Lepisosteus oculatus: one gene and its partners. The protein of the gene in region 4 purifies or fractionates together with the protein of the main gene of each other region. This does not show direct contact. Links are inferred from orthologs where the notes say so. Each region holds a gene or a part of one and is shown on either strand. Other genes may lie near its edges. The genes, in order: seh1l, nup43, nup133 and nup160.

Region 1 (6,920 bases), on a different chromosome or scaffold from region 4:
GCGGGCTCGGTGCGCGCCGCCGAGGCCAGGCTGCGGCCCAGGAACTTCCTAGAGGAAAGTCGGAAGCTAGGCGTTCAAACGTCTCCCAGAGCACAGCTGCTGCGGAGAGGGGGTAACGAAAAACGCGAGTTGAGACTTACGAAGTACAAATTCTGCCACCGGCCCGCCGAGTCCATGTCCCGAAACTCCTGGTCCATCGTTGCTGTGCCGGTGCGGTGCCAATCCCCCCCCTCCCTTCTCCGCGGACGTAGAAATTGAGTCAGTTGTTGTCGGCGTTCACGGCTTCAGTCGCTACACATCCTCCAGCCGAGCCATTTGCCGGAACACGGCGAAACAAACTGCGTGTCCGTGTAACTGACATCAACGCGGAGAGCGGCGCCTCTGCCCGCGCCTGCGCACTGGCGGGGGGCCCTTCGCTGCTCGGGCTGCGGCGCGAGAGGAGGCGCAGGCAGGTTGTCGGATGTGCGATGAGACGGCGGAGGGAGGTCTGGCGCCCAGGGATGACACCGGGCGGAATGAATGTCATTGGTTAGACAGGTGTATTTTTAGCTGGACGTGTAGGCTTTAGGTTAATCACCCACCCCACACAGACACACATATATACCCCCCCCCCGCCGCCTACAATTGCAATATTCTTGCCGCTTTTTCAAGAACATCAAACCGCAGCGAAAAAAAAAACTTCGCTCTCTATTACCTACTTCTTCTGCCTCCCGATGAACGATAACGTGTCACGCATCATGACTGTATTGAAAACTGTTGGAAGAAATAAGGAAAGGAGATGGGCGTAAGACCGGCGCTGTGTGAACCGCGCAAAATGTCAAGCTGTGTCTGACAAAAAGGTTATAACTCGGTTTCAGATGAATCGGGAAGTGGCGTGTCCCTTTTACGACACAAATCAAAACTTCATTGACGGAATGAGGCATTTGGCGACTACCGCTTTTCAGGGTCGTGCCGGTATCGTGCCTGCCCATCTGGAAGCTGCTGAAATGAACATTAGCCTTTTAAGGGTGGTGATCAATCGTGGGAAGTTATTTGCTCTTTCGCCCTCGCGTTATTTTTTTTTTAACTTGAACCCATGAAACATAGCCCTCAGGAGAATACGAAATCTTGACCTTAGACGGTAGCTGCATGTGCTATTTTTCTAAGTGAACTGTCTACAAAAGAAAACAGGTCAGCCGAGAATAACACAAGCGATCGAAAATCCTCTAATGGCTACTTACAGATATTTAATATATGTGTAACAATTATCAGAAACAATTGCTGCTAAAACTGTTAAAGCTAACTGTCAACAGGAAACCTGAAATACACAAGTTATTCTTCTTGGATCTTATTCTTTCACTAGTGTAATGATGGTGTTGATACTGTGTTAGACACAGTCCAGTGTGTTTGGGAATATTTCTGGGGAGTGCTTAGTTTTAGTGTTAGGGTCTGGGATATGTCATTAGGTTCAGGTGTAATCAGAACTCAGCAATGAGCTCAGTGCAATCAGACTGCCATCTGGAACCACCAGCAAATACATAGTATTTTCTGACAGCTCTCATCCAGCTTTCCAGGCAATGGAAAAAAAAATGAGTTTAATCTTTTAATAAGAATAACAATTGCAACAATAACCCTTCTTAATACACATTAACAGTGTCTGGCATTAGTCAAACTGAACTGGTTGTGATGTTTTTCTTATTCTGATGGAATTTGAAAACTGTGGTTCCTCATTATTTTCACTTTGGTTCATCCAGCAGACTTCTTTGGGATGAAGAGAGAAACGTGAGTCTGAGGACGCAAGTGGAAACTACTTGGACATGCCGTTAAAACTGGGAGCACGATGCACTCCTTTACTCCCAGAGTGGCGGGGGTGTGGAGCAAGCTCCCCGATACCCTGGTTTCCTTCAAGAAGCAGTTGGATGAGATCCTTGTGTCAATTAACTATTAACTACCAAACGAACTAGGGAGACCAAATGGCATCTCTTCTCGTTTGTAGCCGTTCTTATGTTCTCTGTGTGGCATGGAGCTCGGAAAAATAATTGGAAAACAGCAGCCCCAGCTCAGCGATTTATATCACAATACAGTTCTCAGAAGGGCGAGGAACATTACAGCTGATTCCACCCACCCTCTGCATTCTCAAGTCATAATACTCCCCTCAGAGAGACGGTACAGGGTACCAATTTCAAATAAAAACTTTTATAAGACGTCTGTGTCAGTGAATGTATGTAAATGTAGTCCCCCCCACTACCCATTTATTTATGTATCACATACTGATGTTGTGACTATTTGACTCTTATGTTTTGCTTGTGTGTTTTGTACTTCTGTGGGAGAATCCAAAAACAACCGTAGTGGACAATAGAGTATCTGTCTAGGCCTCATCTACCATGTTAATGCTGTTGTCCTGCCCCCCTCCCCAAGAGGAGTGTTCAAGATTCCTGCTGTTATTTTCCTCTGCCTGGACAACTGTGGTGCTGCTGCTGCTCATCATGGAGTCATGAAGCTCCAGAGCTGAGGTGGTGAGGGGCTTTCAGGAATTTGAATACCCCATTGGAATTGCCACATGATCACCTGTGATCCCTTACCCTTATACTGCGTGAGTGCATCGTGGCCATCGAGCGCATTTTATGCCTTGAGTGCCCTCTAGTGGCTGACTCGTGGTCATTACAACCTCTCCGCGCTGCTGTACAGCTACAATGCCGGACATCCCTTTTAAGTACACGTGTATAAACATCACCGCAGACATCCACATTTAAAAAGTACAGCATATGGAAGCAATAGAAGCATTTTAACTGAACTATATTTAACGCATTATTTGGGAGAATATTTAGGTTGTGCTTTTAAGTCTAAAAATCATTTGGAAAATCGTTTCATTGTTCGGCTACCTCTTTTTCAAAGTTACTACCAAACGGGTTAGATGGGCTGGCTGTTATTCTCTCGTTTGTAACTTCTCTTTTGTTATGTCTAAATCAATCTTCATCCAAAATCATGAGGTTATTAACGAACTGTGGAATCTGTATGATTTGATCAAATCTGCATATGGATCTTGTGTTGACAAAACGCAGATCCGATTAAGATTTTTTAAATGTTCAGTTTTTTTTTAAGCTTCCTGGAAAGCGCTCATAAAATCTGATTTGTTGCAGTGTTAGTAGTGTTGGGAAGATTTGCTTTGCTTTTAAGAACTGTTATAATAATAATTTATTATTACCACTCAAAGCGCTTTACAGGTAATGGGGACTCCCCTCCACCACCACCAATGTGCAGCATCGACGGCAGCCATAGTGCGCCAGAACGCTCACCACACATCAGCTCTCAGTGGGGAGGAGAGCAGAGTAATGAAGCCAATTCATAGAAGGGGATTATTAGGAGGCCATGATTGGTAAGGGCCAATTGGAAATTTGGCCAGGACACCGGGGTTACACCCCTACTCTTTTCGAGAAGCACCCTGGGATTTTTAATGACCACAGAGAGTCAGGACCTCGGTTTTACGTCTCATCCGAAGGACGGCGCCTGTTTACAGTATAGTGTCCCCATCACTATACTGGGGCATTAGGACCCACATGGACCACAGGGTGAGCACCCCCTGCTGGCCCCACTAACACCTCTTCCAGCAGCAACCTTAGTTTTTCCCAGGAGGTCTCCCATCCAGGTACTGACCAGGCTCACACCTGCTTAGCTTCAGTGGGCTGCCAGTTGTGAGTTGCAGGGTGATATTGTGCTATTGCACAATACTTCGTAAAAGATGTTTTTTACATCAAATGATAACTTGGGGGAATTGCTTTTATTGGGAAATAAAATCATGGTGCATAATAACTAAACACACGCTACATGGGTCACTGTAATTGAGGGGTTGTAAAATCGGATTTTCCCAGAATGTGTTCATATTAAACTCACTTCTCACTGAAATAACAGAGGAATAGCCCGAGGTGCCATCTTGTGGTGGACTGTTGCAATGACCTCATGAAGGCAGGCGCCAGAAATGGGTTGGAGAACGTAGGTGCAGCGCTCACATGTAGTTAAATCTAGGTTGCATTAGAAAAAATAAAGTCTGGGGTGAATTGTAACGCTTTAAAACACGCCTTTGAAGAGTTCAGAACAGCGCCGGTGGACGATGTTCGTCGCTCGGAGCATTGCGGCGGATCACAAGGATCTGATCCACGATGTTTCCTACGATTTTCACGGCAGGAGAATGGCGACTTGTTCCAGCGACCAGAGTGTCAAGGTAATTCCATGCGAGTTTTTTTTTTAAAAAGATGAATACATCATCCTAACGCCGAGGAGTCCTGTCAATAAATCAGTACCCATCGTGCTAGGAAGCGTAAATTTAACAGCTGCACGAAGCAATCGGCTTGAAGCGTTTCTGCGTTGCAGCATGTAAACAAACGGGCTGTGTAGGCCTGAGAGTTGGGCGCCGGGTCTGTGAATGTCACGAGTGAATTTATCTTGCATTGGGGTTTGAATTTAGTTTTCCGCTCTGGGCTGGGAACACATATACTTTAACCACGAAGAGCTCGGATACAGTCCTTTATAAAGCCTTGGTTTAGCAGGTTATACTATATCAGAAACCCTCAAGTATACGTTTGCTTCTATGAAGTCCTCAATGCGCCACTTGAAGACGTATAATAGTACGACTTGTTCAAGTGTTTTATTTAAATCTATCGTTTTAAGACGTTCAAGCTTCACAAGTAATACATCATTAAAAGATTAATAGCTGGTATATTTTACTACTACTATGTCACCGAGATAAAGGTTCATTAATTTCCCCCTAGCTGCACACACTTGTAGAACAGATTTTAACCAAATTATTTTTCTTAATACATTAGCTCGTAGCTTGTACATAGCTATATAAATCTTTGAGACGTATTGCGGAACATCCTGACATTTTAGTATTTACTGCTGCTGTCTAACATTCCATGCAGAGATGATTTTCAAAGCTTTTAGATGTTCAAGCCAAGGATGAGTTTGAGCCAGTTATTTAATTATTGTTTTCCAAATCGGTAAAACAATTTCATGGCTTTTCTGGAAAGACTGGGCAATGTTTGATCCCATTAGCAAAAATCGATGTTTATTTTTCAAAAAATAGTGTTATTTATAGAAAGATAAACAAAATACACAGAGAATATTTACAAGAGCTGATTCTGTGATTGTTTCAGGTCTGGGACAAAAGTGAAAACGGAGAATGGCACTGCACAGCCAGTTGGAAGGTGAGGATTATTCAAAACCAGTGCTTAGTTTTTTTTTAATCTTCCGCCCAGAATGTGTTGATAAAAGTGTTTTCATTCGCCTACGACACTGTAGATCAGGAATTAGTTGAAGACGGCAAAGGGCCTTTCCCTGCATCATGTCCTGGTTTGTCTCTGCTGCATATTTTTTCTTGCTCTTTCTGCTTGGATCATTTGCCAAATTGGGGACCTGAGGTAATTAAATATAGGCTCTGAAAAGCTGGATCGAGTGGAGGCTCAGTAGTGCAGTTAGGCCCTGGGTTCAATTCCTGGGGTGCTGCCTGCGTGGAATTTGTAGGTTCTCTCACTGTGTTTCTGTTGGCTACCTCTGGGTCCTCTGGCTTCCTCTCACAGGCCGAAGCCCAGCATTATAACATCAACCCTACCCTTCATAAATTGATTCTTCTCAGTCGTGCTAATATATGTGGTCAGACTTCATAAAGAGCTCTCATTAAATCTCCCATCTCCAAGGGGAGCCTGCCAGTCATTCATTTATTCAAGCGAATCTTCTTTTTAAAAGACCTTCGTGAGTTATGGTTCATAACGTGGTTGGCAGATAATCTGTCCTCTCAGAAAAATGGAAAGGAATGTAAAGCAGACACTGAACAGCACCACGACCACCGCAGGCAGAGGCTTTCCATCTGAGAGCATGTGTGTGGGGGGAGTTGGAATGAGAAACCCGAGGAGGAGGTTTCTGTATCACGCAGAGCTACAGTTCTATACAGTACACACACCAACGACTAGATTCAGCGCAGATCTTGCTACTGTTGAATTCACTAACCAGCAGCCTGGGTCGAGCAGACTGTGGTGTTGTACATTTGAAAGCCATTTCTTAAGCTTCCCGGCTGTGGGAGAAGGTTGTGGTGTTTTGCTTTTAAGTACTTTTTCCAACGGCCTGAATGAGTTCAGGCCTGAGAAGCAGAAGACTGAGAAATGCTTGCAGCTTCTACTGTTCTGCTGCATCCTGTCGAAATTGTCTTTCTTCTACCTCTGTTAGGTTTTTTTGGGGAGTTCCTCAGTTCCTTCTATAAAAAAAAAAACAGCCTTTTTTTCTGTCAAGCCCATGTGTACGGGCAATATCAAAAGTTTCGCCTCTTAATTGGTTGGAAGTGTATTTGGAAAAAGAGAACAGGAGGCAGTTCTTGTCATAACCTGAGAAAGGCCGAATGGCCTCCTCTCGTTTCTCTCCTCTCAGCTCTTTTAATAGTTTGTAGAGATTTTTCCATGAAAGTTCTCGTTCTGCCTTTTCTTGAAAGGTGGTATCGCCTTCTACAATGTGGCTGCCTAGCGTGTTCCATGTCCCCACCAACGATTTTTCCATTGGGGTTCTCGTTTACAAGTGTCCTTCAGGTTATACATTGTGATGTTCCTGGTACTCTCCCAAAACAATGGCACCAGCAATCCTGGAGCGGGACACCACATGACAGAAAAAGAGGAGGCATGATGTAAGAAAATTGGGCAGGCACTAATGTAGGGGCAATATGTGTTGATTTAGGTAGGGGTGTGTTGAGATCAGCGTATTACAAAGCAGGTCACTCTGGAAAGTAGAATCGCAGAGCCTCCATCTGTTCCTTTGTGATTTGCTTGAAATTGTCAGAAATAAGGTATGAATAACACAGGGGTGGGTCTTGTACAGCCACAATTGAGCAGGTAGCTTGATTGTAGCTTGATTTTTCATTTTCTGAACAATTTAGTTTTGACCAACTCAGCAGGCAGTTACTT
Region 2 (7,969 bases), on a different chromosome or scaffold from region 4:
AAAAGAGATAAACAGAGATAGTTCAGAGAGACTCTTTTCCTCCAGGAAACAACTGAAACTCCTTTCAGTTGCTGTAATTCTATCTTACTCCAAAGACTCATGCTTGTCTGAGGCCAACAGGCCATTTCTGTCCAGGTCTGTTATACAAGCAGCAGGTCAGGACCCATATTGGGAACATCTACATTTTATATTTTGAGAATCATTTCAGAGAGTCAAAGTGAAGAGATGGGAAGAGCGATGTAGTAGATTCGGGGAGTTAACATGAGATAAGGCGAGCTACTGTACCTCGGAGGAACTTAGTTATGATGAAAATATTGAATTAAAAATTTATATTTTGGAGTGCCAGTAACATGCACAAACATGCTTTTCTGAAGCAGAGAGTAAAAGATATAATTCAAAACCAAAGCTAAGTTAATTTCATCCCTCCAGGGTGATCTAAGATAAGCAACACAGAAGAACTCAGAGTCAGATTAACTTTAACATGATCCTATTCTAACATTCTGAAATAACGTCTTTACTACAATCAAACTCAATATTATGTTCTTTGGAATATGCACATTTCCAGAGAATCTCAAAGAAGAGAACAAAAGTAGTAAAACAGAAACACAGTCTGAAAGACAGCAAAACCAAAAAAAAAAAGTTTTGAACTGAAAGAACAAAACAGAATGAGGTCTAAACTCTGAAAGAAAGCATTGGAAAGACAGATCTACCTGGCTGTTGTGATGGTGTCGGAAGATGGTAACTGCTCCAGTTGATGAAGCTGTAACAATTCTCTCATGGTCCAGAAACTAAAAGAAACATCACAAGAAAATAAATGTGCCTTACAGGGCATGTAAAATGGTCATAAACACGAATAAAAAAAGAGTAAACCAAGCTAAGTCTATACCAAGGTTTAATTCACAACTAACATTTATAGGTCAGAGAATGAGAGAAAAGTATATTGCTTTGAAGGCTGACCTACATAATCCTCCAGTAACACATCGAAAGAAGAATAAAGGATAAAGCAACATTAATAAAGGATTTATTACATTCACAGGAATAAAACATCATTCCTACAAAGCATTTCTGGAAGAATTGTGAAATGTGTCCGAGGTTGAGGAACAGTGACGCTGTTTGATATTGAGCGATCGCGGCATCACACAGTAATGTATGAACATTTTACGTTGTGCCTGATATTACTACTTCAAATGTACTCAAAGAAAGGTGGAATGTCACTTATGGCCTGTTAACTAGGAATTTTCTTCTGATGCTCAAGACCCATTGTACTGTACCCATTGCCTGGGGAGAGGCAAATTCTGTATCCACACAAAAATGTTTACTTTTAGACATGTTATACAATCAATACGACATAATCTAAAAGAGAATACAACTTTAGAATTTTCAGCCAAACATAAGCAGGAATAAACACAAAGTGTCTGATATCATACATAATATGAATGATGTTTCATACTAGTTCCCACAAAATGTCTTTTGGCCCTAGTACTGCCCTTCCATGTTTTTTTCTGAAACCTCCTTCTGTGGAAAATTCTAAACTGTCTGCTAAGATACCACAGTTCCATTATTCACCTCACTTGAGAGAATATGAAAGAGGAAAATAGAGTTACTGCCCCTTTTTAGAAATTTTCAAAATGACCAATGATCAATCGTAGTAAAAAAACAATGTACAACATATTTCCAGATAGAAAAACGAATGAAGAACAAGTGTACCTGAAGGTCCATGACATCACCGCCATGTCGGTAGTCACACAGTAGCTGGGGGTCTCCTTCAAACTCATCCTCCATGCTGGTGACGCTAAGCTCCCCCACAGACCATATGGAAACTTTATTGTCCTGGCACAATGATGCAAAAGTGGCATTCAAGAAGATATTCCTTTCTATCAGGTAATCCCGCATGTAAAAACACCCCTCGACCATGACAACTGCCTGCAGCTCACAGCTGGCAGCCCACTGGAGCTCAGCTGCGTGAGGCTGGCCAGTACCTGTGGGGAGACTCCTGCGAAAGCTAAGGCCGCTACTGGAAGAGGTATACGTAGAGCCAGCAGGGGGCGCTCAGCCTGCGGTCTGTGTAGTCCTGATACCCCAGTATAGTAACGGGGACACTATAGTGTAAAGAAAAAATGACATCCTTCGGATGAGACATAAAACCGAGGTCCTGATTCTCCGTGGTTATTAAAACTTAAAAATCTCAGGGCTTTCCACGGTCTCCTAATAATCTCCATTACTTCATTACTTAGCTCTCCCCACTGAGAGCGGCTGTGTGGGGAGTGTACTACCTTCACATCATCCAGGTGTGGCTGCACACTGGTGGGGGTGGAGGGGATCCTACTTATTGTAAAGCGCTTTGAGTGGAGTGTCCAGAAAAGCGCTCTATACTGTAAGTGTGAGGAATTTTTAATAACTGCCGCTGTGACGGCTTCATTCACTTCTCTGTAAAGCTGAACAGTAGAGCCTATTGGCTTGTCCCGTACGGAGCCACGTTGCCTTACAATTACAAAATGAAGTACAGAACCAAATCAAGTCAGACATATTCAATGTTTTCAATGTAACGAGAGACAAAAAACTGAGAAAGAGTTGGAAGCAACGACAGTAGTGTGCTCAAATCTGCTGGGGATACAGGATCGACTTCCACCTAGTAAAACGTGAAATGTAACATAACACCGGCTTTATCGCTTGGTCTTAATCTGGCGTGTCTTGAGTTAAAGACTTATAATTTTTACGAAAACAAAACTGCTTTCGAAAGGACATCCATTCATTTCTTTCATGCTTATTACAGCTCTATAAATTACCTCGTTATCCCAAGACCCTGTAGCGAATATATCTGGCTTTTGGAGGGATGCAGAAGACACCGGTCTCCATCGTGTCTTACTGATCTTCTGAGACACAAATTTGGCATTTATGTACTCCATTAAAATGCTATTTTATTGTTGTAGCTCACATTAAAATATCATTTAAATTTGAACTGTTCTTGCGGCTCCCCGGATCCCGTCAGTTCCTCCTCTTCCGGCTCACAAGACGGTCACGTGAGTACGGATCCTCGGCGAAGACAAGTGTCGTTCACATGGTTAAATACGGTTGCAGAAACATGAAAAATATCTACAAAATCGTAGTTGAATGAGATTGAAAATATGCTCTGTTATTATATTTCCTATATTGTGTTTCATGTCATCTGTTAATGGCATCTTTAATTGATCACATATACTATTTACACCAGTAATGGTATGTCTCCGTACATTTTCAACAAGCTTAACAGGTGGTCAATGGCAACTAAACTGAAGACTGTACTTATCGAGGAAGATTCCGTCTTCTATTTTTACACTATAGTGTCCCCATTAGTACCCACCAAGGTCAATACCAGTTGCAACGAATTTCAGTTGCTGAAAATAGCTCACGGCTCCATAATAAAATGTCCTCGCTTCCAACGAACCCAACTGAGTTGGTCCAACTCTTTCTATAGACGCAATCTAGTATCGTACTAAAATGAACACTAGATCCCATGTTCATCAGGTTCATGCAGCTTATTACTGAAATGATATCGTTCATTTGACTTAATCTTAAGCGTTCTTAAGTGTTTGGTTGGAAACTTATTGTAGTATTCAAATGCTCAACAATATTCAAAATCATAAAGAAACTAGTCGCCATTCAGTTACAATCTCATTTGACCTCTGTTTTTAACCAGCCGGTACATACGGTACAGAGACGGCCTTGGTCTGTTTGTCAAACCTGGGACAATTTGTTGCAGATAATAATTTTAATCAAAATTGCCCCATTCTCTTCAAGTGTCTCCCAAGGCTCTGCCCTAGCACTTATTTGTTTTAGTCTATTTATCCCCATCAGGCAGTCTTATTGGTGTCAGCTTTAATTTTTACACTGATGAAATTTAGCTTTACATCTTGTGTAATCCATAATGCAATGTTTCAATTATGTCAAACTGCGTGAGTGAACTTCCGGCTGAAATGTCCTCCATTTAAATATGATAAAACCTGAGATGATGTGAATAAACCCCAGGGAAGATGAATCTCATTTAGTAAATTCTCTACAACTTGGAAACAGTAGCCTAAAAGTATGCCCTACTATGAGAAATCAGTGGTCTTTTTTTAAAACAATATCTTTATTGTTTTTTCCATATTTAATATGAAATGAGAAAATATGAACTATGTCCAAACAACAGAAAAGAAAAAGGAAGAATGTGATAAAACATCCAGACAGTTCCAATAACTCATACAATGGCAGTGATTCAAAACACAAGTCACCCAGGTGTTTGTTTTTTAACATAAATACATGTTATATACAGGGCTTAAATGTGATACCTTTCATAAAGCAGTTCCTCTAATTAAAGCCTTTACTCTCTAGATGTTACCCCGATTATTCTCTAGAAAATCTATGCAATACTTCTTCCAAAAACCCTGAACTACCAGACATTCCCACATGCAGTGAAAAAATGTACCTTTGTTATCTTTGCATTTAATTAGGATAGAACTGATGAAGTTCATGTAGTGTGATATACAGTCTTCGTATCCACTTATACTGTAAGAGTTTTAAGCTAGTATTCACAGTCTGAGTCTGAGCTTTCAAACAAGTTTCACTCCACTCTTCCGCAGAGATGTCTTCTTGTATATCTGTCTTCCACGATTGAAGCCTACAGTCAAACGATTCTTTCGATTTTTCAACTAGCACCCCGTACACCAATGACACCTGTCCGGTGGTCTTTTTTATCCCAAATAAATGATGCACAAATAAAAGACGCCTGTAAAGTCTCTTACTTTCATCTCAGAAAATTTGCTTGAATTTCTTGATCACACTGCTGCAGAAACCCTGATTCATGCCTTGGTCACACCTCGGCTGGATTACTGCAGTAGCCTTTACAGTGGTCTCCCGACCAGCTCCCTAAACAAGCTCCACGTGGTCCAAAACTCAGCTGCTCGACTTCTAACGTGTTCTCTGTGAAGACATCTCCCCCAATTCTGAAACATCTTCACTGGATCCCCTCTACCCAAATGTATCCAGTTCAGAAGTTTACTTTTAACTTTTAAAGCCAACACATCCAGCCCCACAGTACAGAGCACCTGAGCATCTCTCATTACCGCTGTGTATCAAGCAGGGTTTTACTCTCTGCTGAGGCCACCTTCTTACAGGAACAAGTGTCTGTTCAGTCTTTTACAGTTAAAATCTAGACCAGTCACCTATCAGGTTTAGTCAGGTTTTTAATTAGTGTTTGCCTTTCCTCCTTGTCCACGTTGTTGATCTTTGCCTTTATTTCTGTTGTGTGTTATGTTCTACCCTGTAAAATGCCCCGAACTCTCCTGCTGTACATGGGCACTGAAATACATCCTTGTAAACGAACCAGCTGCAGGTGGCTCTGTGGCCAAGGATCTGTGCCTGTGGCTGGAAGGTTGCTTGTTCAAATCCTGCAGCTGGCAGAGAAACCCTACTCTGTTGGGCCCCTGAGCAAGGCCCTTCACCCCAACTGACCCTGCGCTCTGACCCCCAGCTTCTCTCCCTGTGTCTCATGGAGAGCAACCTGGGGTATGTGAAAAGACACATTCCTAATACAAGAAATTGTATATGGCTAATAAAGTGATCTTATCAATAGACCTACTTCTCATGGTTCAATCATAAAGGGAGTTTTTTTTCTTTCTTTTCTCTTTTTCATACGCTTATCTCTCCCACATCTCTGGCTTCCTTTTTCCTACTCCTTTATTCCTGTTTTTTATATTAGTGGTGGAATTACACAGTGTGTTCAGGGACCCAGCTTGTCTTGCCATGACTATTGTTCACGCGTGTTTGTTATTGGGTTTGGCACTGTGTGACATTCTTTTTTTTCCCGGAAAAAACAATAAAAACGTTGAATACTAAGGGGGGTGCCATCCCTACCTCACACACTGAAGAGTGCAGAGCCCGTTGTATGCAATGGTGAGTCTTGAAATACAGATTCTGTGGAGGGAAGTGAACTGAAATTAAGGGAAATGCATATAAGTAAACAGGAAGTGATTCTTCACTGTGATCAGTCTCATCTGGGCATCATTTCTCTCTGTTGTTTACGGTGGGAGGTCTCCACACGGGAGGTTCTGAGAGTGGAGAAGGGATATGGAGGAACAAGGATATTCGTACACGGGGTAAAGTGTCTTATTTTCTGTAGGGTTTATTAAAGAAAACACTCTTATTAGGGTCTTTTCAGAGGTGATCGATGACGGCTCTTCAGTACACTGCCCCTGGCCGTGGGCCAGTAACAATAAGAGCGTCGATATAGCTGGCGTGTCGAAAGTCTTGGAGATGGTACAGGCAGTTCATCCCGGCTGACAGCAAGGCTGGGGCGGACCACACGTGGCAATGATACCGCTGGCTCTTACGGCGCTGGTACCCTGACCAAACGAGAGACGAGCAAAACGCGGTTTTAAAATGCCCAAGGCTCGCTCCATGGGCACCCCGCTGTTTCACGGCGCTGTACGTGTGCAGCCCCCTCATAACCGGTGCTCTCGGGCAGAGCCACCACGGGGCAAAGAGTCAGAGGCAAAAACAAACAAACAACAACAACAACAACAACAACAACAACAACAACAACACGCAGAGTTAACAAAACCTGGAGTGCGGGGCCCAAGAGACACCCCCTCATTTCTTCGACAAGTCGGGGGTATTCTTCGGGAAAACCCTGGGGAGATCCAACTACCCCGGACGGCCATGATCCACGGATATCAATTAGGCAACACCTCAGGCAAAGTACAACAATTTGCACGTAAAGAAAACCAACAACTTTCCGACCCAGTGTTCCGCTTGGTACTGTACTGGATTGCTTAGTTTAGCAGCAGTATCTGTAGTCTTGCACTTTGGTATCCTCTAGAGGGCATCAGGTGTTCCGTCTGCATTTGAAAACATGATCATATTTACCTGTGAGGACTCATTTCAGCAGCGATCGACCTGGCGTATTTCTTAAGCATTGAGCTGAGTACCAACCACAGGATCATCCACGACTAGGACGCTGCTCCCAGATCGTTGCCAAACGGTTTTTTTCTAGCAAAATAGCGCAGACTACACTAGTCCACAGATTGAACAGTGATATTATTCTGTTATGTATTTATATATTTTCAACACTCGCGGCCATAAGAAATGGTATATCAGACCATGCTGATTTTTTTTTTAATGAAAAATCAATGTGTGGAATATCTTACCTAAAGGCACCTGCTGCTCCCACGGTTGTTTTAAAGTTCACATCAAATCGATCGTGTTGCGTACACACACACGTTTACTTCACAGTTTTCATTTCTCCAGCTGGGTTTTATTAATGTGGTCCGATTCGTGTTCCATTAAAAGTGAAGGGGGGCAGTAAGGGAAAAGCTTATGTTTTATCGTCCAGATAGAAACCGCAGTGGGGTTTGAAAGAACCAGTGTCTGTGGCTGTGACCCGGTGGACTTGGGATGTCTAGCTCTTGGGCTCACGCCGTAACGGCCTTGCCCTTATGGTTGTCTCACTCACATTTGCAACCAGGCATTTACAAACCGTGCTTTTAAATAGATGCCCCCCCCCCCACTGCCCCGGTCATCCGCCGAGACCCAAAAAAAACCCCCCAAGCGGCATCACGTGTTCGTCGCGGGAGCGCGCACACACACACTCGCTCCGCCTGGTGGAGGAAAGAGGCACAGCCTGCGAGGCCGCCCGTCCGAGACGATTAATAATAAACAGCCGGAACCGCGTCCGGCCCGCACGCAGCTGCAAGCCAGCGCACCGCACCGCACGGCTGCTCAGGTCACCGCGGTGGCACTGACAGGGCAGCGGCCCACGGCGGCCGACTCCCCCGGCGGCGGGGACGCGCGTCGCGGGGGGGCAGAGCCATGTCGGGCGGCGCCGGTGACGTCACGCCGTCCGCGCTGGAAGTAGTCAGCGTCGTGGGCAAGGCCGTGTGCGCAGGCGCGGCACTGACAGCCGCTCTCTACCTGATCCGCAGAGTGTGTCTCACCATGGCCTGGAAGTCAGGAG
Region 3 (7,803 bases), on a different chromosome or scaffold from region 4:
TTATACCGAGGGTCGTGGGTCTCTGGAACAAACTGTGTTGAAGCCGATACCTCATGGAACGGCTTGACGAGATTGGCTGACCAATCAGCTACTAGCAGGCGAAGGCGCTGGACGGGCCTAGGGGCCTCCTCTCACGAGGAACTGCTCTTGTGCTCTGAACGCCCAGACTGACGCACAAACCCACCTGTACAGGAGCCCCCTCGCCAGAGCCCTGGCACGACAGGGCGACCAGATCTGCAGAGCCGGCAAAGTCACTGGGCGGCAGCTGCAGCTCCTTGCAGACCGATAACTGGGGTTCAGAACAGAACAGAATCAGACAGCAGGCCTCCAAATCAACGCCACATGTAGCCGCAACGTTTCACATTTACGCCAATGGATGCTAGAAAACGGTTTTCCTAACCAGAACTCACAGCTCGTAATGTGAACGGCCACACACCCTTCCCTTTTGCTAATCAAGGATGAAGTTGGCAGTGCTTGATTTCGTCCAGAAGGGGGAGGAACATTGGGTATCGATCTCAAAAACCACCACGTTGTACAGCTGCATGCAAAAGTTGGGGCACCCCTGGTTTTATTTTTTATTTTTTTTCAATCTGTCAAGTAAATGGTAATTGTGCATTAAAATGTGCAGAATTCTGCCATGTCTACGTTTGTACCCTCCAGAGGCTGTGTTAACTACCTTTCACTTAGAGACTCAGTGAAGCGTGCAATTTGACCAGGGGTGCCCAAACGTTTGCATACCACTGTATCTGATTGCATCATCAGCACGTGTCCAGGTCCCTGGGGTATCGGCAGGACAGACCTTCGCCTGTATGGACGTACAGGACAGAGTCACAGAGAGATGAGATCTTCAAACAAGCTGATAGGAAAAGACCAGTCAAAGTTCCATTTAACGCTCAATGCATTTCCCACAATATTTCCCTGTACACAGACGTCTGGTTTTCTAGGGATTAAAAAAGAGACGAGGAAATGTCACCTTTGCCACAGCAGTCTGCCCGATCTTCCAGATAATAAGACTCTCTCCGCACACCAGCCAGGCCCAGCCACTCTGGTCCACCCGCGCGCTGATCTCCTCCTCCTCTGCAACAGACAGGACACCCGGCTCAGCCCCAGGCCAAGGGCAGGAGATCACGCCTGTTCACACGCATGAATACAGCAGGGCCTGGCCTGCACCACCGAGCAACACACCCACTCACGGCCATCGATTTCCAGGTTACAGCCCGTGTGTGGGGTACAAACATCTATAGCCGTCCGGACACGCTATTGAGACCCCTAGCCACTGAAGGCTTGATTTTAAAAAGCTTGGAAGATAAATGAAAAACAATTTCCGCACACACGGCAAGGTCAGAAAGCTTTTGATTCTGGTGACATATGCATTTTTCAGCAAGTTGAATCCCGCCCTTTTGGGGACAGGGCCTTTGCTATTCGAATGAAGACGAAGGCTTTAGAGAAGCTGCACAGCCTGTACTGAGACAGCTGGACTGTACAATCATGTACAGTGTGTCAACACGCAAAAGCCCGGAGGCAGGCAGTACAGTATATCTACGGCGGGAGGGGCACAGGAAAGCTCACCTTCGGCCATCGTCAGGGCCTCCATCACTTTCACGGGCAACGAAGAGCCGAAGCCCTGCAGGTCGAAGTTCTCGGCGGTGGCCGTGTACTGGGCCCGCGTGGGAGTCGCTCTGGAACAGAACAGAGGGGATGTTTGTGCTGCTGCCTCACACTCACAGCCCCAGGTCTGGGTTGGATTCTGGAAAAGGACACCTGTCCATGTCGAGCCTGCCCGCTCCCTGTGGGGTGCATTCTGGGTACTGTGGTTTCCTCCACTCCATCATGTTAGAAATATACATTGTTAATGGAACGAAAAAAACCTCTTTGAAACAAATGGCTGGTTTTCAGTAAGACTGAATAAAGCACAAGATAAATGAAGAGGATGGAGTACGAAGCTGCATCAGTGCGGGTTCTGCAGAGGTCTGCATGCTAACAAACCGGGTCCATTCGTGCCGTCGTTCTTGCAGCTGGATCGGAACCAGCAGCACACGCACTGGTCTGTGAAGTCCTGTGACTGGTTAACCCAGCACCTGACAGCGCGCTGTCACAATTGAAAACAGCAGCCATGCCGACAATACTCTTGGACCTGTTCACAATTCAGATTGGAATTTTACTTTTTTTCTCTAATGCCCTGAATCTGACGGAAGCGGACTAATGAATGAATTTCAATGAATGAATGAACAATGCAGTTCTCTCGCAGAGTAGTCTTCACTATTAAAATGTGCCTCCGACACGAGGTTCACAAATAATATCGTTTGCTTATATATTCAGGATATCAGCAAAATACCTGACCTGACGAAAACGCATACATTTAAAATCAACTAACTTGGTTAGCCAGCGAGTTTTAAACAGGTGAGGGATTTTCAAATTCGCAGTTGTTTTAAGTAAATTCTATGACTTTTATACTAAATGATAGAGGATAAACGTTTTTTAAAAACAACTATTAACGCTAAACCACGTAGAATTACTAAGTGATAAGGATTTGCGATTAAACAAGCCGCGCTTTGCTCTTTTAAAACTAATCATTTCGTGTTAAGGATTGTTCGTACAGCTCTGCTAACTTCACTATTTTAGTGATCGTTAATGAAGATCCTGCTTCATTTCACGTTGTTTTATTTTTGGATCAGTACTGACGAAAGTGAAGCGACTGTTAGATCACCCTAACGTAAATTTTCGCTTCATTTTTTCGATAAAATACTTACCTCGCCGGCAGAGACGCTCTCCGGACCGGCGAGAACAGTCCCGTCGGGGTACCGGCTAGGCTCTTTCTACCGGCCGCTCTGGAGGTCGGCCTGCGAGCCGATCCAGCAGACGCCCGGGGAGAAAACATCTTTTATTTGTTCGCTGTATCCGAGTACGATTTTCGACTCCTTTCACACAGGTTCTGTATAAAGTCAAACCATGAGACAACCAGTTCCTCGTTCGAAGATTCCCTCAAAAAACGCTCGCACACTGACTCACAACATGCGACAAGTGCTGGCGCATAACATAAACGTCATTTGTCGTGGGCTGGTTGTGGGGATTGTAGTTTTATATAGAGAAGAAAGCGTACCAGACTACATCATGAAAGAACACTGTATGAAAAGGGAAGTAAAAAAAATAAAAAGGAAGGAAGTGAGAACGCAGCTCTGGTGTGTTTAGTTTCGAAAGTAGTACGTTTTAATAGTTTCGTGAAATGAAGTTATTTCAGATATTTAACTTATACAACAAATTCGCTATTTGAAAAAACATATTCCTGTCAGTTGCAAAAGGGTTTTTAAATTTATTTGAACATAATGCAATTCTGTGTTTATCTTTCCACAAATATACAGTTCACAAAGAAATTCAGAAGGAGAACGAAATTGTTCTGTTTATTGATAAAAGTAAAATATGGTGTACTGTCTAAAAAAAAAACAAGCAAGAACCAACTTTGTGTTCTTGATGCCTTTATACCGGGCCTTCTACGTGGTGGACACACTCTCTCCCAATGTTTTCAGCTGTTTACTGAAAAGAGCCATCTTCATTTTAATTGAAAATGTTTTTTAGTTTAACTTGATTAAGTAGAAATGTTGAGGAAACGTACAAGTGTTCGGTCTTTCACAGAACAGAGTGGATGTTTGTGCTGCTGCCTCACTCTGTGGTTTCCTCCCAGAGACACCCGATTATGTTACAAATAAACATTTTTAATAACACAAAAAACGTTTAAAAACAAATGGCTGAATAAAGCACAATATAAGTGAAGAGGTTGGAGTAAGCCTTATCAGTGTGGGTTCTGCAAAGAAACAAGTAGAGGTTAGCTGCATGCTGCAGCAGAAACAGCAGAAAGTAAAAACATTTCAACCTCATAGACTGTTTCAGGGTTGATATCTGTATTAGTCAGCAAATGTAATTTTTGATAAAACAATGCAGCCTTAAAGCCTGTGAAAAGGAACTGTGAACTGGCTTCATTACTCTGCTCTCCTCCCCACTGATAGCTGGTGTGTGGGGAGCGTTCTGGCACACTACGACTCCCGTTGCATCCTCCAGGTGGGGCTGCACATTGGTGGCGGTGGAGGGGATCCCCATTACCTGTAAAGCACTTTGAGTGGAGTGTAGTGTGCTCTCTGAAGGCACCAGTTCTGTAGGGTTTGGGCATTTACTGGGACAATTATTAATTGTAGCAGTAAATCACAAAATTGATTCTTTTGATGGCTTTAGAATCCAACCATGCGATATAACTCAAACAACGCACACACACACAGGTACTAATACACGAGGATACATTTATTAATACATAGAATATGCATATAAACCTAACAGATCTTATCGAGAGGGTTATCAGAATACAAAAGGTATATATTCAGTCAGTTACAAAGAGTTACATATATCAAGAGGACATACGTTCAGTATATCATTCATTTAGACCGTTTCGTAATTGAACTTGGTTACAACTTCTACATTAGATACTCAAAACAAGTACATAACTCTTAGGAATTAAATTGATATCAACTGGTTGGGATAACAATTGAATTCTCGAGCTGTAATGCATTGAAGTTGAATACTCATCCAATCTCTGGGGATTCAGATCTCCTGCGGGCACAAAGAAACAGTTGCAGGCTGTTGCTGTCCAATCTGCGCTCTCTGGCTCCATGCCAGGCTGTGCTGTGCGGCTTGCAACGGTGCGCTGCTGATGCTCACTGACCGCTAGTTAGTGTTGGCTTTAACTAGCAAAGTTTGTGCACAGGAGAAAAGATGACTGTGGGTCCCAGCAAGTCAGGAAGAGGACCGGTTCGTTCCTGATGAAGCGCTAGTTCTGAATAGTGATTCAGCTGTCCACAGTTCCGACCTGTTCACGAGGCTTGCTGCTGGTGCTAACCTCGGGTGGATCCTCTGGTTACTCTCTGGCAACCTCCGCTCTAGACTCTTAGAACAAAGCAAAGTTCTGGCACTCGGACACACTGGCCGTTCCGTGGTTGTCCGGGCTGAGTCTCAGGATGGTCAGGAGGCGTGCTGCGAGAATGTCCTGCTCTTGGGAGCCTTCTGCTCCTGGGCCGTCCTGCCCTGGAATTCTCCTTTGAATTCCCTTTAGAATAGTCCACAGAATTCTCCACAATTCCTTGAATCTCCCAGGCTCTCTGTGTTGCCTGTTTTTACCTGGAGGAACTTCAGCTCGTTGATTGGCTGACAGTTCCATGGGCATCAGAGTCCCGCGTGGGTTACTCGGCCCTACCAGTCCCTGATTGGTTGATCAAGGTGAGATATGAGTCACTTACTCCTGACACTTAGGAATGCAGTCCAGATGTCCATTTGGCACTCCCTAGACAGATAGGCGCCAATGGATGACCATTGATCATGATAGCCAGGCTTAGCCAAGTGCATCCCCCTTTGGGAGCTGTCCCTTATCAAAAGAAAACATCTTAAATCAGCCTGCATGAATACTTTCTCTGTGGCTGCACTACAGAGATGGAGGGTGAGATGGGGCCTCCTTTAGGACAGCATACCAACGCTTAATTCTGTCTTATTAACAAGCATTGCCGCTACAGGAGTGTCCAGAAAAGCGCTATATAAGTGTAAGCAATTATTATTATTTATTATTATTATTATTATAACTGACAAAATAAATTAGAGAAACAATTTAATGTTATTGAAACAGCCTTAAAAGAGAATAAACAATAACAAAATGAAAGAAACTGCTAACAATCCCTTCAGGATCTCATTTCTGGTTTTGCTCTTTGCCAGAAGGGAAGCTTCGCAGTCCTGGTTTGACTTGATTCTGCTAGTGATGCAGTATTGCTCCAGCCCCCGCCTCTGCTGTTTATAAGCTTGAGTCAGGATCCAGAAGAGCTCAGGACCTCCCGTCAGTCTGCTCTCACTCACATGACCCAATACAACAAGTCTGGGTTCGTTCCTCATTGAACTGTATGGTACTTACATCATGAATATCAAGTGTCTTCTGAAATATTTTAAACAAACGAAAAACTGCACATAAAGTACAAAACATTCCAAAAATAAAAATGAACAATATAATTACAGAACCATAACTATGGTACAAATGCCAGTCAATACATAGAAGCTGTAAACAAATAACATTCCCTAAACAGGACTGTACCCTATATATACCATGATATCGTGTTTGTTTAATTTACAGTTTGCTTATCCTTAATTTAGAAAATCTAAATACACACGCACTTATTAAATGATAAACCTCACAGTTTCAGAACGTGAGCTATGTAGTATCTTATGGCATGCCTTCGCAGTAGTAAAGATTGTGACACATTAAGAAACACAATATTACTCCAATACATCTTGTGCTTTATGTGTGGCGGTTATTTTGAAAAGCCCACACCAGTTTCTGTGATTTAATTTATTGTCTTACCATGCAGTATATCTAAAATTACAACCAATCCTTGATAGAAGAACTTAATGTTGGTGTACTGAAATTCAGCGTACTAAACAGGAATGTGTGCCTGCCAAAACACTAAAATTCTTCAATGTTTCACTGGGAAAATTATTATTTGATGTAAAAATGGGTTCAGTATATTTTTAATTGACAATATTCTTCAGAACACAATATGGCATTTTCAAAGTTGAAGGGACAGCAGAACAGATAGAAAAACAAATACCTAAGTCAAAGAGCTGCAATCTGGATTCCCTGTGATGAGAGCTTTGACCACACTGGCCACAGAAGTTCTCCCGCTCCTGCACTGACGTTACTCCACCACCACGTGCTTCTGGCTGTTCTGCAGGAACGCTTGCTTCTCCACCAGCTTCCTGAAGAGGCCCTGCCTGTTGGCCAGCAGCTCCTCGTGCCGGCCGCACTCCACCACGCGCCGCTGGTCCAGGACGGCCACCGCGTCGGCGTTCTGGATGGTGGACAGCCTGTGGGCGATGATCAGCACCGTGCGCCCCTGCATCAGCCGGTCCAGGGCCTCCTGCACCAGGAACTCATTCTCTGCGTCCAGAGCGCTGGGGGGACAGGAATACAGGGCGCACACCGGGAAAGTCAGTACAGTACACTCTTTGTACTCTCTTTACAGCACTTCTACAACACGCAGGGCATCGTCTGCAGGGCCCGCTGGGATTTCACAGTTAAACACCTTCAGAAAGATTCTTGTGACACGTATGATGCCAGTGCTTTAATTTCAAGCATTTATCATCAGATAAATGCTTAACAGGGCATCATGAAATATGAAATAATAGGAAACAGCATCAAACTGTGTACCTGGTGGCTTCATCCAGAAGAAGTATCTTTGGGTTCTGGAGAATAAAAAAGTTATTTATTGAAACAAATATTTTCCAGTTTAAATACATTTTTAATGCATAAGGTTTAGTATGTACTTTGTCTAAGTCTGTGCAGTCATGAACAAGGATATTGAAGCATAATATGCTATTAGATACCTTTAGCAGAGCCCGTGCAATAGCAATTCTCTGTTTCTGACCACCTGTTGGTAGAGAGAAATTAAATTACGTGCATGTTATTCTGGAATGGAGTCTGTTATGTTCCAATATTTACAGTTTAATAAACATAATCCAAAAGCAGATTTTGATTCTATTTCTTACATGTCATAGATTTCAAATGTAGGAGTTATCACACTATTGAAATATTTCCCTCCTCTCATGAAGCAGTGATGCTGAATACTAAGAGACTTCTCAGATGTTGCCCTCCAAAATTCATCTGAAAAGAAGCAGCCAGGAGATTTGCCCCTGCAATCACTGCCAGTGATGTGTGAGTTCCAGATGTGAAGCAGTGTAATTAAAGCAAACTAACTAGGGTGAAGCGGGGGCTCTGTGGCTCAG
Region 4 (7,048 bases):
CCTGGAGCAGTTGGGGTTCAGGGCCTTGCTCAGGGGCCCAACGGAGTAGGATTCCTCTGCCGGCTGCAGGATTTGAACCGGCAACCTCCCAGCCACAGAGCCACCGCTCTGCCCCGGAGTACACAGTAGGTACACAGCTAAGACGTTAACGGGGAACACCAACATGATTAAGGACTCTGGGCTACCAGGTTTCACCGTGCAAAACATCCCTGGGTGATTTCACCGAAATCTTTTTCCCTGGTTAAGCGTGGGCAAACTCTAGTGTAAAATCCGGTACAAACAAGCAGGCCTGCAAGCAGTCAGTGACCACAAGAACCAGCCCCAATTTCCTGAGTGACCATCGGCCTGCTGTCTGTAATGCAAGCCCCTGCTGCGACTGTAACAAGACAAAAAGAACCTGATATCCTGGTTTTGGGGCGCTGAGAAACCAGGCAGGAGCAATCGGCATCTCCCGGAGAACTTACACTCCTGTACATGCGGGAGGGGTGGGGCAGGACCAGCCGGTGCACGGTCTGGCTGGTGACCACGAGGACGACGACATGGTTGCAGGTCTCCTGGATGTGCACCCCCCCGGGCAGCAGGGCGCAGTGGAGGATCTTCAAGCGCACGGCGTTGTTCAGCAGGTTGGTGTCCAGGGACTGCTCCACCAGCTGGACAGTGTCGCCGGAGGTGCTCCTGGAGGCGGTGAGAAAGTGCGATTTCATGCCCCACACCACCAACACCACAACAACCCACTTTCCTAACTGCTTCTTCCAGATCAGGGGCGCGAGGGAGACGGAGCCTGTCACGGCAAGCAAGGGTGGGGTACATCCTGGGTGGGATGTCAGTCCCTCACAGGGCACAGGGCACATACACACCAGGGCCAGTTTACCCAAAAGCCAATTAACCCACCAGCATGTCTTGGGACTGTGGGAGGAAACCAGAGCATGTGGGGGAAACCAACATAAACATAGGGAGAACATACAAACTCCACACGGACAGGAACTGAACCAAGGACCTCCGAGATGCTTGCCCCCCCGTATTGACTACATAATGCTTGCATAATGCATAGAATCTTCTGATGCTTTGGGCCCTACCTGGAGGGCAGTATAAAAAAACCCTGCAGTCTTTAGATAAGAGAAATTAACAACAAACTGAGGAAAAGCAATTCTAGCAGATCAATGAAGGCGTTCATTTACCAAAGTCGACTGCATGCTTTTATTGATAATTCCTGCCATTTGCATAGCGTTGTTCATCCCAGGGGCTGCAAGAACACTCCACATGAGGGAGGAGACCTACTCCACCCCACTGCTCAGCAGGAGATTAATTCAACGGAGCTTTTGGGGGGGTCAGACTGTTTGAGCCCAGGGAGCAATTTACCCTGAATTAAGCCCTGACATACGAGCAGCTGGGAGATACAGTATGAACCGCTCCACTCCGCCTGGGGTGGGAAACGATCAGGACGCACTACAAACCAGCATCGCATTGTTAGTGCCACGAAGTAAACATAATTTCCCGAGACACCACAGCAAGTAGACATTATCACCTACAGATTTGCAATGAGAAAACACCCAGAAAACTGTCCCAGAAAACTGCAAGAAACACCAATATTGCAAATCAAAAAGGGCCCTCATTATGCTAGCATTATGCACCTATATAGCGCTTTTCTGGACACTCCACACAAAGCTTTTTACAGGTAATGGGGATCCCCTACACCCCCACCAGTGTGCAGCCCCACCTGGATGATGCGCCAGCAGCCATAGTGTGCCAGAACGCTCACCACACACCAGCTCTCAGTGGGGAGGAGATGAAGCCAGTTTACAGATGAATCAGTACTTCGGTTTTACATCTCAGCTGAAGGACGGCGCCTTTTTACAGTATAGTATCCCCGTTACTATGCTAGTATGACAAGTGTTAGGTAAAAGAAAAAGATTTGCAGCTCACCACTGTATGAACCTGTTGCTTGTAACAGACAGGAGCTTATCACATTCCTCATAATGGAATCCACCAGCACTGTCCGGATATTTGACTCCTCCGGGAAGAGCATTCACCCCTTGCAATCAGAGAAAAAGACAAAGGGTTGTATCACAGCGTGCGAGCGAAAAGGGAGTTTTCTTCGTAAGGCTTTAGACTCTGCAAAGGCTTTCAACTAAAAAACAAACCCGCCCTCTCCAGTCCAGCAATACAGTCCAGTGAGTGACTGGTGGCAACACTCATATTTTTATCTTCCTGTGTAAATTCCAAGAGAAAGCGGGGCGCCGGACGCTGCATGCTTGTATCAGGCTCGATATATCTAGAGACGCCCAGGAAAAGCAGGGTGCTGAAAAGACTTGCTAGCACACATCTCGCAGTGTTGGGGCTTACCGTCCTGCTGGATTCACCGCGGATAATGGGATTCGAAAGAATTGTACTAATCGAGTTTCCACTGCGCGATACTTAAGATTACAGTTAGGTCATTATAAGCATATAGAGTCCGAGACTAACTCCATGATTAAGATGTAAATCACTGTAAAGCGAAATTAAAGCCACCTTAAAATCAAAGCATTTATGTTGTGTAGGAAATGACCGCAACTTTACAAATAACGAATTCATAATCCATGCCTCTGCTCCTCTTCAAAAAGCCAAGTTTGCAGAACACTTTAGAAAAAACCCTACCTCGACTACTTCAAGATCTACTGGAGGGCACCAATCAAGGTGTGATACTTGGGTTTTCCAGACCCGCGGGGCGGCTTGGTACCTTAATTGATTTACTTGCTAGTACAGTGTCAAATAGGCGCTCTACCGAAGGCATGGCTAACCCGCTGCATGGTGGGCAGTCACGACCTCGTCTTCCGGGGATCGTACTATCTTACCCAACAAAGTACAGTCCCCCGTCCCCCGTGCGTGATCCTTTAAGGGCCTTTACCTGGATCAACCGTTATATCTCGGAATTTCTGGAGGGTTTCTCTCTCGAAACCACATATTTCTATGTAGCTCCGCTCCAGTGCCGCCGCGGCCGCCATCTTGACCCCCGGTGCACCCTGGGAAAGGCTAAGTGGGCGGTCCCACAACAGACCCGCCACGCGCTCTTTCAAACTCTTAAAGGCGCAGTACCGCCTGCCCGTGCCAAGGGCATGATCAATAATCAATGGCTTAAACGTACATCCAGTGCAGCATAATCACTGAAAATGCTCTGCAATTAACAAAACAATGCACAGGGTTAAACAGCATGAGCTGTCATAGGAACAGAGTAAATTTCGATACAAGGAGGTTGTTTGACGTCGTTCGACTCGTTTTTACAGCGCAGAACGTTTCTCCATGGTAATTGATTTTTTTTAAAAGCACTGATAATCTCCGATTTTTCTTTTAGAAACTAAATCGTTGTAAACGTCTCTGCCGAGGGGACGGCAATCTTTTTTTTCTAAAGAGAAATTCAAATGTAAAAAAAAAACCACTCGCTTACACAATGTATTACATAAGCTCGCTCAAATCAAGTAAGGGTGCCCCTTGCTGAGTGTGCTTTATACTGCTATAAACGCACTGACACAGGAGGGGCATTTTCTGAGATTTGTTGTACAAAGCAAATATCAAAATGATTTAATACCGCTGAACAAGGTCCCAGAATTAGACCTATACTTACGCACAACTTAGGCTAACGAGCACTAAGCCGCCCACGGTATTACTATTATACTTGAATGCTTTTTTTCGGCAACGCGACTTAAATATTTGCGCCCCTTTCTCATGTAGCTGAGCGCTCGACCCCTCTGTCGCGGGGCTGCAGAAAGTGGACACGACGCCCAGCGGAACACCCAGCCCCGGCGCACGTGGGACTCGAACCCGCACCCCGGCACTGCGGACAGACACTTCACTGTCCCCCGCTGCGGAAAGCTGTCTTTGGCTTCTCCCACAGAAGTACAAAACACACGAGTCACATAAAATCACATTGAAATCACGGCAACAGTAAGTGATACATAAGTAACTGGATAATTAGAGGTGGGGCTACATTGACAGACCGCCAATGAGTAGTTTTAATGCAGAGGGGACAAAGGACGTCTTATAAATGTTTTTATTTGAATTGTGGTCCCTATGCCGTCTCCCTGATGGGAACATTATGAACTGAGAATGGAGCAGGTATGTGGAGGCAGCTGTGATGTTCCTCGCCATTCTGAGAACTGTATCACCATATAAATCACAGAGTTGGGGCTGCTGTTTCCCAATTATGTTTCCTGCCATTTTCACAATCCCGGGCAGTTTGGTTTTGCTTTCCGACCCCAGATGTAAATACCATAAGGTCACGTTAAATGCCGGTAGCGTCAACACCGTTCTGGCGGATCTGATGCAGCGCCGATCAAGTCGCGTCGCTGCCTAATCAAAGACCGAATTCACCCCTGGCGCAAAGCTGTTAACGTTGTGCAACAGCACCTTCCTCTTAATGGGGGGCAAATCCGAGAGGCAGGACCCGATCGAGCGCAAGGCGAACCGACAGGGCTGCAGTCCGACGGTTGCGAAAACGGACGCGTTTCCTGACCGTTTCTCAACTCCAGGCGATGTGGAAAAAAAAAACGACTATGACCCCAAGCACAGATCTCCTGCTCAACCTTAAACACCAAAACAAAAAAGTCCATCGTAAAAACACCAGCAACAGGGGATACTATATCAGCGTTGATTAAAAAAAAATCAGCACATTCGACTATATAAAACGAATGTAACGCCAGGAGAAATGAATGTAGTGGGGGGATCCAGCAGGTGGCGCAGTCTACTCGGGACCAGAATATTCCAACCAATGTTACCGTATGGTGACTGTGTACACTATGCTGCAGGAGGTATAAGATAAGATAAGATCATCTTCTTGCTGGGTATCGCCCTCTGCCTGGGATTATAAACCCAGGAATGCAAAGATCCCAGGGCACTTTTCGACAGAAACTCCGGATCTCAACGATCTGAAGTTTACTTTGAATGTAACCGGTATAAAGCAACTAACTGGTCGGTCTTCAGGCGGGGAGAGCACTTCAGTACTGGATGAAGTGGCTCCTCTCCTGTAGGTAAAGTGCTTTTGAGAGCCTTTGATATGAAAGCAAAAGGCAAAAGGCACTGGAGCGAAGGAAATGGATTGTTACTTTGCCAGCATGACCAGAGAAGCTCCTGTCACCCAGAGTTTATAATCTGGCACAGAACAAGCACGAGCCCTGTGTCAGAAGAGCAGACAGCGCAAACTGGATTCAGTTGTAACCTGCAGCATTCAGATCCTTTTTTTAAGATCAGTATGGAAAATTGCATCTTTTGAGGTTTTCGTTGATTGCCCTGCGCATAATAACACTTTTGTTGTGCATTTCATTCTACAAGCTCTTAAAGCATATTGTGGTTTGTGCGCACGTGTGCTTTCTTATTTGTTGTGATGCAAATAAAAAACCCGTTTAAGTCTTGGTCATTTTATTTTCTTGGTTACCTTCTTTGTTTTTCAGGAAGATGCATTATGTCTCTGTGTCCAGCCAATGTGTTAGAAATGTACTCCCCTCCACACAACCTTTGCTCAGCTGTGCTTGACAGTCTAGATACTTTACTCCATATTTCTGGGGCACCGTCCTAAAACACAACGGGGACTCCTCTTTGACTCTTTGCTTCCTACATAACCGTGAAGGTAATTCATAAACAACTAGAGACGAGCTTGCATACTCTGTTGCTTTTGGTCAACTTCTCAAAAACTAATGCCCAGGGATCTGCTATTATACTGTATAATACTGCATAGGAGTGCCCTGCAGTACCACTAGTAACAAAATATAAAAATACATTACATATTCTTTAACCAAGGCACTGATATCCTTAGACTTTTATTGGCACAGAAAAATCTTTACCGAACGAAATATATATTTTCTTTTTTTGCTTGGGGAAAAAAAACCTAGCATAATATACAAATGCATGAATCTACGCAAACGTAGACATTAATATCCTGTATACTCCTCGGGTTTTAACATTTTAATCATTAGGGATTTATAGAACCGCTCAAGTATGCAAATCACAGAAACAACAGGTTGAGGAAACACTTTTTTTCCAGATATATATGGCATTTCTGTTAAAACCGTTGGGGTTTGCACCACACGCTTGTGCAACGGCGCCCTGAACTTCTGCTCTCGCAGCGTGGAGTGGGGATATATATAGATGGGCGCGAGGGCGCGAGGGCATCGGGTTGAGTCTGTGGGGTCTGTCACCATGACCTCTGTTCTCGCGAGCATCCTCTTAGTCGCCTGGCTCCGTGCGCTTCACTGCTACCCTGTAGAGGTAAGGAGAAACATGTTCGTCTGTCTGAAGTTACACAGTGACTGGCGTGGGTGTATCCTGCCTTGTGCCCCTTGCTTGCCGGGATAGGCTCCGGCGTATCCAGCGATCCAGGGTTAAAGCTGTTTTAAAACGAATGGAGGGCTGGGAGTACTACAGTATGTCTCGAACTCTGTGTAATCAGAATCAAGACAAACTAGTTGTTTCTTCTGGAGAGCTCAGCGATCGATTTAAACGATTTTCTTATTTTCTGTCACAGTGATCAAGGTTGAACGTCTCTTTTTTTTAAAAAATACGTTAGTCATCGTTCTTTAATAATGTAAATTAAATAAATTAATTGATTTCTGATGAATGCAATAAACGTAATCTAAAGACTTAAACATCTGACTGGTTGACACTTTTAACTGAGGTCCTGCCCGTTAAGTCAAGATATGAGAGGCACAGAGTGTTATACGCAAGGAATCCAGCAGTGTTTTGTCAGTTTTAATATAAATGTGAAGCCGTTCTTTTCTTCACCTGCAGCTTTCATTGGACCTGAAGATCAATAATGAAGAAAGCGGCTACACAGGTATAGTTCTGTATGAAACACATAGCAAGGCTGAAGATAGACCTACTGGGACAGGATATCTAAACAGTAAACATCCCGCTGAGAATAGCACAGTATGTTTTGACCCATTACGCATCCACATCAATCACACGCCTTTGAAGCTAAATATGACTTCGTTTTTCTATGACACTGAGAATATACCACCCTTTGCTATATGAAGAGAAAATATGACGATCGTTATATTTTTTATCGAAACAGCGCCATGAACCG

Evidence for each region.
Region 1: the proteins of nup160 (region 4) and seh1l fractionate together in Homo sapiens (co-fractionation; 3 studies listed by BioGRID and IntAct, with this or other methods). This does not show direct contact. The link is inferred for Lepisosteus oculatus from reciprocal best matches to the Homo sapiens genes NUP160 and SEH1L.
Region 2: the proteins of nup160 (region 4) and nup43 purify together in Homo sapiens (affinity purification with mass spectrometry; 5 studies listed by BioGRID and IntAct, counting the BioPlex papers as one, with this or other methods). This does not show direct contact. The link is inferred for Lepisosteus oculatus from reciprocal best matches to the Homo sapiens genes NUP160 and NUP43.
Region 3: the proteins of nup160 (region 4) and nup133 purify together in Homo sapiens (co-immunoprecipitation; 4 studies listed by BioGRID and IntAct, with this or other methods). This does not show direct contact. The link is inferred for Lepisosteus oculatus from reciprocal best matches to the Homo sapiens genes NUP160 and NUP133.

Annotation. Positions count from the first base shown.
Region 1 is NC_090705.1:9,368,671-9,375,590, forward strand, and holds the start of seh1l (nucleoporin SEH1), read left to right. Parts: upstream 1-3,905; 5' UTR 3,906-4,087; coding exon 4,088-4,198; intron 4,199-5,129; coding exon 5,130-5,180; intron 5,181-6,920. Other genes in the region: ptpn2b (tyrosine-protein phosphatase non-receptor type 2), read right to left, coding at 141-197. UniProt on the Homo sapiens protein: Component of the Nup107-160 subcomplex of the nuclear pore complex (NPC). The Nup107-160 subcomplex is required for the assembly of a functional NPC.
Region 2 is NC_090697.1:4,921,582-4,929,550, reverse strand, and holds the start of nup43 (nucleoporin Nup43), read right to left. Parts: upstream 3,021-7,969; 5' UTR 2,907-3,020; coding exon 2,787-2,906; intron 1,831-2,786; coding exon 1,708-1,830; intron 789-1,707; coding exon 711-788; intron 1-710. Other genes in the region: pcmt (protein-L-isoaspartate(D-aspartate) O-methyltransferase), read left to right, coding at 7,825-7,969. UniProt on the Homo sapiens protein: Component of the Nup107-160 subcomplex of the nuclear pore complex (NPC). The Nup107-160 subcomplex is required for the assembly of a functional NPC.
Region 3 is NC_090712.1:2,256,978-2,264,780, reverse strand, and holds the start of nup133 (nuclear pore complex protein Nup133), read right to left. Parts: upstream 3,017-7,803; 5' UTR 2,879-3,016; coding exon 2,751-2,878; intron 1,680-2,750; coding exon 1,570-1,679; intron 1,078-1,569; coding exon 974-1,077; intron 290-973; coding exon 185-289; intron 1-184. Other genes in the region: uncharacterized protein abcb10, read right to left, coding at 6,717-6,972, 7,229-7,263, 7,405-7,448. UniProt on the Homo sapiens protein: Involved in poly(A)+ RNA transport. Involved in nephrogenesis.
Region 4 is NC_090716.1:4,054,699-4,061,746, forward strand, and holds the start of nup160 (nuclear pore complex protein Nup160), read right to left. Parts: upstream 3,017-7,048; 5' UTR 2,982-3,016; coding exon 2,885-2,981; intron 2,033-2,884; coding exon 1,924-2,032; intron 676-1,923; coding exon 465-675; intron 1-464. Other genes in the region: hatching enzyme 1.2-like, read left to right, coding at 6,166-6,234, 6,754-6,799. UniProt on the Homo sapiens protein: Functions as a component of the nuclear pore complex (NPC). Involved in poly(A)+ RNA transport.